2 linked regions of the Saccharomyces cerevisiae S288C genome follow. Changing the gene in region 2 together with the main gene of any one other region gives a genetic interaction. Each region holds a gene or a part of one and is shown on either strand. Other genes may lie near its edges.

What was found. A genetic interaction does not mean that the proteins touch.
Region 1: mutations in BAS1 (region 2) and AIM23 together harm fitness more than expected from each alone (negative genetic interaction), as found in Saccharomyces cerevisiae (one large-scale study listed by BioGRID).

Annotation. Positions count from the first base shown.
Region 1 is NC_001142.9:163,732-166,887, forward strand, and holds AIM23 (Aim23p), read right to left. Parts: upstream 1,618-3,156; coding exon 547-1,617; downstream 1-546. Other genes in the region: YJL132W (uncharacterized protein), read left to right, coding at 1-435; URA2 (bifunctional carbamoylphosphate synthetase/aspartate transcarbamylase), read right to left, coding at 1,992-3,156.
Region 2 is NC_001143.9:633,832-638,798, reverse strand, and holds BAS1 (Bas1p), read right to left. Parts: upstream 2,949-4,967; coding exon 513-2,948; downstream 1-512. Other genes in the region: ubiquitin-specific protease UBP11, read left to right, coding at 3,620-4,967. UniProt on the Saccharomyces cerevisiae protein: Activates HIS4 transcription only in combination with PHO2/BAS2. BAS1 is also involved in the regulation of the purine biosynthesis pathway.

The DNA of each region.
Region 1 (3,156 bases), on a different chromosome or scaffold from region 2:
CAACCAATGTTTGACACTGTGTTTATATATATTGAGAAGTCTGGGCAAATAGAGTTTTTCTTAAAACTGGTTCTAAAGATTAAGACAAAATCAGATTCAATCCCGGATGAGTTTGGTTCATCTTTGCTGTTTAATGACGAAGAAAAGAAATTGTACGTTTCCTCCCCAGGCAGTTTCGATGCAAGAGGAAGTATATGGAAAATTAGTATGGATGAGCTATTAAAGGCGGGAAACGATCCGAAGCGCAAAACCCTTTTGATTAATAATTTAAGGCATCTCATGCTCATAAATCCTGACAAAAGTAGCAAGGGTGTGTCAAATTTTGGTAATAGCATGATTTTGGGTCCCCAAAATCACCTTATAGTAGGCATTCCCCAATATGGGTATGGAAATTTTGATCACATGCAGCTAACCGGTAGAATCCTGGTACTTTAATGATAAGTTATTATGTACAAGCATCGGTTTAGTTCAATTACATTAATTTAATACTTGAAAAGCATATTTGGCAATATGCGCTATATATATTCTGATGTCATTTGCTTCTATTTACATTTCATTCATTTTTTTTCTCTGAATCCTTTTTTGCAATTTTTCTTGCCTCTCCTTCTTTCTCAATTCCTTTAACGCCCTCTTATCGTTGTTTTGTGGTTTAACGTCCTTTGGTATAAGTTTCATTATCATTTTCGAGTTCATGTTACCTAGCAGAACAGGATCATTAGCATATTCGCTAACTATCTCTTTCAATGTCTCCAAGACAGCAGCTCTTTTCTGGAAAACTGATTCTGGTAGCCTGGGTGGTTCACCTTTTTGAGAGCGGTCCAGCTCCTCAAAATTTTCAAGCCAATTGTTTGAATTTATGTTATTCTTGTCATCAAGATATAACGTTACTTTATTCCCTTTTTTCAATAGCGAAACTATTTCGTGAGCCTTCTGCCTTTTTAAATCATCGCTTTCAATCTGCCATGATATTTTAATATGCTTCAAGTTATCTTCTTTTTTATCAGTCACCAAATTCTTGTAAGACTTATTCAGTACTCCCAATTCCATCAGTTCCTTTTCCTTTTTTTTAGCCAGAAAGTCTGAATATTTTTTTAAGGCTACACGACTTTCGACTATCTTAACAAGTGGAATTTGATTTTCATTATCGATTTGCTCTACATTAACAATACTGAGTCCAACTTTATCGAGATCAATGCCCTTGGCAAAATACCGAATATTGGATGCTTCAATTCGGTGGGTAGTGGGATCCACAACTTTGATGTTTCCCTTGTGATTTTTTTTGAATATCTCACTAACAACTGAATTAGCTGCCTCTTTAGCTCGATCTGTCCCGGTGCTCCAAGTAATCAGGATTTTTTTCCTGTTAGTAGCATTCCTTGGCACTTGTTTCGGGCGCTTAATATACTCTTTAGGAAAAGCAGCATTTCTTGCCACATTTCCATGACTTTGCTCTTTAAGATTTGCCAGCTCACGTTTACGTTTCATTGCGTTGCGAAATATATCTGTGGTAGATGATGCATTGTCTCTGCTGAAGTATTTTGTGCAATGAAAATATCTAAAACTTTTTAAAAACAGCATCTTCTGTGAAAGAACATCACTCAAAGGAACTTTTAACATATCCACGGACCTGATGTTACCTCCTTACTGTGTATGCATCAGGTATGCATTTTGTGATATATAGCTGTTATAGTTTTCTGAACTTACTTTTTTAGACCCTTAAAGTTCTTACCGTCGCGGGAAAATTCAGGTAAAATTCAAGAGCTCAGGATGAAAACTAGACAAAAGGAACGAGATTACCTTCAACTCCTATGCCTTAAACATTTTTTGTTTCCTCAAGAAAATTTGTTTACAAAATCATTCCATCTTTTGTTTTAAATAAAAACTCGACTTTGGGAAATCATATTATTGAGTGTAATATACAAATAAAAATATTGGTTAAAAAAGTTTAATAATAGATTATAAATTTAAAATACGGATAGGTCTCTTATCATTCACATATCAACACCCATGACCATGGCCAACAAAGCCATTCTGACGAACAAACCATACTTCATTTGTCTGAAGTAAGCAGCACGATGATCGTAGTCCACTTCCTCTTTGATTTCATTTACACGAGGCAATGGATGCATGATAGCCATATTTTCTTTGGCGTGTGCCAAGATCTTGTTGTCCACGATATAAGTATCCTTCAGACGTGCATATTCTTCAGGGCTATTGAATCTTTCTTCTTGGACCCTTGTACAATACAGAACATCGGTCTTTGAGATGATATGAGGGGTTAATTCAATGCTCTCAACACCAAGTAAGCCAGCTTTTCTTAGCTCTTCTCTTAATCCTTCTGGTAACCTCAATTCCGGAGGAGAAACAAGATTAATTCTGACTTGATAGTGCATTAACAAACGACACAATGAATGTACGGTTCTACCATGTTTGAGATCACCCATGAAAGTAACAGTAATACCATTAACAGTACCGATTTCTTCACGAATCGTAAACAAATCCAAGAAGGCCTGCGTAGGATGCTCGCGAGAACCATTACCACCATTAATAATTGGAACAGGAGAATATTTAGCGGCGATATGAACAGACATTTCTTCTGAATGACGCATGACAATGGCATCACTGTAACAAGCCAAAGTTCTGATAGTATCTTGAAGGGTTTCACCTTTCTTGACAGAAGACACCAATGGATTAACATTTACAATTCTACCACCCAAACGTTCCATAGCAGCAATGAATGAAGAACAAGTACGAGTAGATGGTTCAAAGAAAATTGTAGTAATAACGTGGCCTTTCATTAAATCTAAGACACCTTCTCTTGCGACAGCTGCCCTTAGTTCTTGTGCAACAGCAAACAACACATGGAAATCAGAACGTTTGAATTGTTTGATAGACAATATATGTCTTCCGCGGAATGGATTGTTACTACGGATCAAATTCTGGATGGCGCCTGGAGCAACAAGTTCTCTTGGTGGCCTTGAAGACATCAATTTTTGTTCCAAAGGCTGTTCTGGAATTGCATCCTCCGCGGCATCTAAATTATCAGCGATTGCTTCTTCCGTGATCGAGAACCTTCTTTTAGCACTAGTAGATTGGAGCTCTGCGGAAGCAGTTATGGAAGCTGGACTTGGATTAACAATGCATTTTCCTTTGGCG
Region 2 (4,967 bases):
ACAGAACTCTTCATGGATGATGGGTTTTAAAAAATTAGTCAAGACATAATTCTTAAAGTTCATAGTCTCATTTTTCATTTTCTTTTTGCCTGCTTTCTCTTTTATACATCGCCGCATAATTTACTAAACGCCCTTTGTGTTTGTGGGCGGAAAGAAATATATTCCCTTAAAATTTCCAGGAAATTATGTTGCTACAATGACTTATAAAGGGAAAAAATAAGAAGAGAAATCTTGGAAGAATACCCTAGTAAAATAGTGTACAAGGCAAAGTTCTTAATTATGCAAAATCGCCGTATATGAAATAGAACAACTTTTTATACAGCTTAAATACAGAATTCAAGTATGTTAATCAACATGAAAGAAAAAAAAAAAAAAATGCGAGTCATGAAACTACACGTTTTTTTCAGAGAATATTATCCATCTTGTGCTATGTATAATATACACTTATGCTTATTACAAAACTAATATGTTAAACAATTGAAAGATTTGTGTTTTTTTTCGGCCTTGCCTTCTCAACTAGGATTCAGTGGCAGGACTGACCCATTATCGGTAGAACCTCCTGACGTCATATCATGCTCGCTCGTCTTCTTAGCCTCATTATGCAGTGTATCTGCCTTTTTATCCAACAGTTCGTTAAAAAAATCGTATCCTCCGCTATGGGAACCTAGGCTGCTATCTTCTGTATGTGAGCCAATCCCTTGATGTACCACTTGAGGCTTGGCACCATCATTTTCAGCTGACTTTTCAACTGGAGGATTTGGATTCGTAGTAGCCAAGGATCTTAACGTTTCCCAAAAATCCAGGCCGTCTTCATCTCTCAATGGAGTATCAGATCTGGATGTAGTCCTTGATATCTCCGACTGATCAATGTGATTGAATTTATTGGTTGTCACAGATGATGAAGAATGATGCTGAGATGATTCACTTTTTCTTTTTTCTTTTTTCTTAGTTTTACTGCCGTTACTTCTTACTGAATTTGGAGATGGATTGAGTAACTTATTCAAGTCAGCACCTCTTGTCGCATCTGATGAGCCTAAATGAGGCCGTATAGTTGGTGGCAAATAGTTGAAATGCGCTATTCTATTAGGACCTACATCAGGTGGCATTTCTGAACCGCTCGTTGTATATGATGCCGTCGAACTTGGTGCCTTGCCATTTGTTCCATTGAAATTCGGTGACATACTATTAGCACTAACGTTTCCTTGAATGATTTCATTATTTGTAGCGGTAGAATTAGTTGGGATCAATGTATTTGCTTGAGGATAAAATACAGACGGGCTGTTTGTTTCTCTATTGCTTTGTGAACCAAGTTCATTTGCATTGTCAGCGGGATTGTGTGAAGTTGCTTCCAAGCTGAATGCGTTATAGTTGGGTGTTCTTGATAAAAAATCGCTATCCATGTTGTCCAGAGAAGTCCTATATTCTGGGTTAAAAGTGTCACTATTTGAATTTAACCCTGGAAGACCATTTCCCAGTTGTCTACCCATATGTGGGAAACTATCCATTAATAGAGGGTTTCCATTTATATTTCCTATATTTGACAATCCAGTATTGCTGCTGACAGGATGGTCTGTGGATGTAACATAATGATTGTGAATATGTTGATGTATCGAAATTTTTAAAGAGTACTTCTTAGCTTGGTCAACCAATTCTTTTACTAATTTTGTGCTGTCAATAGTTCCGTTAGAAATTGACAAACCTTGACCATCTTTTAATGTAAATTTCCATTGTGTGCTAGAGGAATTTGGTTCTCTAGTTTTCACAGTAGAATAAGCATGCTTCGGAGAATCTGAAATACTATTACTATTCATCATATGCTCATCGAGAGATGCTGGATTGAATGCTGGGGGAAGGCTTGTCTGTGGGCTATCTGAGATTCCTCCAGGACTTTGCTTGTTCATTTGAGAAAGACCTTCAATTGGTAAAGATACTTTGCTCCTAATGCTACCACTGGTATGAGTCTGACCGACTTGCGTCATCCTGATTGGTGGAGGTGCAGATATCTCTTTTAAGGGAGGTAATGCTTGTGGCTTGCTGTCATTTAAAATGGGTCCATCATTATCCTTTAATCTTGGTAGTTTGCTCGATTCGTTCTCTTTAACATTCAATATATCCTGCTTTATCAATGAAGGGTTGTTCTGTTGAGATAGCTGCAACTGTTCTTCTTTATTCGGTGTAGAATCTGAGCGTATATCAGAATCGGCGATTGGATGTTGTCGGAGTTTTCCGTCTGTCATGTCTATGTTCTTGTTTTCTTTTATAGCCTTTGTTATTACTTCTGATGCTTGTCCTCGCACAACCATAGTAATAATTTTCCGCCATCTGTTCCTGCACGTTAAACTTGGTCTGAATTCCATTTCCGACGAAATCTTTCTCCATTTCGTGCCGTATGCCTTCACTTTACTTATCAGATTTAAATCTTCCTCGAGCGTCCATTCTCTTAATCTACCTTTACTTCCAGGTCCCAACACTTCAATGTACCTTTTCGCACATTGATCCTCTGTTCTTCCAGGGATATCCATGGAGATACTCAGCCAGTGAGGCCCATGTTCTTCATAAGCTTTCAAGAGCTGCTCATCCTCTTCTTGTGTCCATTTACCTTTCTTCAAGTTTGGGTCCAGAGATCCTGTCCAACGCTTTCTTACATCCTTTGAAGTTCTTACGGTGTGTTTGAATCGTGTAGCTAAAACATCCCAAGCAATACATTTAGAAAGATGGTTGGATTGTTGAATTGTTTTTACGTCTTCAAGTCCATTCTCATAGCCTAACTCCTTTGCGGATTCGTTTACTAGCGATCGTAGCATATTATCGTCGTCCTTTGACCATGAATTTCTTCCATTTTTCCTGTGTGTCTGATAGCCAAGTGATTCAGTCACTTCAAGTAAATCGAAGCCGGATCCTCTTTTTGGCTTACTTTTTCGTATATCTTTGGTACTTATATTCGACATTCTCGATAAAATGTATTCTGCGATAAAAAAAAAAGAGCAAAAACGCTACAACAAAAGTTTTAAACAAAACTAATTTTGTTTACCCCACTAGAGATCAACAATTGTTGCAGAGAACGATTCAAATCAGCAAACCGGATTATCAGAAAGCAAATAATTAAACACAAAAAACGTACACTAGTCCTTTATAGTAAACTAATAAGAAAAATTTCTTATTATATAAATATAGCTGGTTAATTTCGATTGCTTTAAAGTTTCCTGGGGCTTTATTCTGTGACTGGACCCTATTTCTTCTAAAGGTCTTAACATAATTACTCATTCTCATTTTTTATTTTTTTCTTCGTCTGGCTCATCGCATTGTTCGGACCAAAAAAAAAAAAAAAAAGAAAAAAAGAAAAAAAAAAATAGTTTCTCCGTTGCACATCGTCAAAGGTGATTTCCCCACATCTATTATAAAGTTTTTCCGGAGTGCTTAAAAAAGGGATTGACATTTCTTCGAGAATTAGTTGAGAAACCCTTTTAGATTGTGCGCTGAGTAATCATTAGGTTGATTATAAGCTCTGAAAGGTTACTGCTACTGCTAGTAGTCTTTCAGGATCTTCAGTAAACTAAATAACCGTGGCATTGATCTTACTTTCCGTTTTCTTTTCGCTAAATCGGAAGTCATAAAGACAATGTTATTAAACCCAGATCAAATTCTAAACCTAGTTCGAAAAGTATATGAAGTAGATATTAAACAGTTTTATTCGCAATTACGGCTAAAGAACTTAAGAGGATTGTTAGACCATGCTGCTCATCTGTTTAATGTTTACCTGAGGGATTTAGAAATCAATCAGGAAATGGAAGCTTTGACAGCATTTATTATTGGTTGTTATTATCTGTACCTTATTATTCCACAATCGTTACAATTCCAAACAAGAAATAATCTCTACAGCAGTTACGCAAAGCTAAAAAACGACTATCAAGACGAACACGTGATGGGTTATGTGTTAAAAGTGGTAAGAGATGAAAGTACTGTTATTGTTGACCGGTATTTAGCGGAGTCAAACGGAATTTGCAGGACCATAAAAAGAAAAAGAGCCTACTCCTTACCGCTACGGCCTTTACCTGTTCATATGGCCTCTTTGTCAATACATAACAAGTTTGATGGCTCACTACATGAAATACCGAATGAGCTAACAAAACCAACAAATGATAATTCGAAAGAGGACATAGTCAGGGAAAGTAATCAGATAGCATCAAGTAATAAATTGGAAGCTGGTTCTGAAGTGGCGTACTACACAAGCAAAGAAGCATTATCAAAACCCTCGTATTTAAAACTCAGTACTGGAAAGGATGCATTATTCAAAACGCTGTCTAGTCCAGCAACTGCTCCCCCCGTGCACTCCTTGGAGGTTTCGTCACAAATCAGAGATTCTAGCCAAGATTCTTCATCCTCTTTATCCAAGGTGGAAAAGCCAAAGGAGGAAGAAGGAAAGATCGAGGCCATAGAATCTTCGGCCCCGAAAGCTTACAATCTACCAGTAATTGAAGATTCTAATGATCTGTTATCAGAGTTATCTATTACTGGCCTGCAAAATCCATGCAATACATGCTATATTAACAGTATAATTCAATGTCTGTTTGGCACTACCTTATTTCGGGATTTGTTTTTAACCAAGAAATATAGGCTATTCCTCAATACTAACAAATATCCGAAAGAAGTCCAACTTTCCCGCTCGATTTACGTTTTGTTCAAAAAAATGTATTTGAATGGAGGAAGAGCGATTATACCAAATAGATTCTTAAAAATGTGCAAGAAGTTAAGGCCAGATTTGAACATCCCAGATGATCAACAGGATACACAGGAATTTCTACTAATAGTTTTAGCACGAATACATGAAGAGCTCTCGAACGAAAATGTTGTCAAGTATTATCCAGATCTAGTGTCATATGATGCGAATGCTTTACAAGTTAACCCATCCAAATACGAGAAATGGTACGAGAGAAATGTTATTACTGATGGTTTATCTCCAATTGATC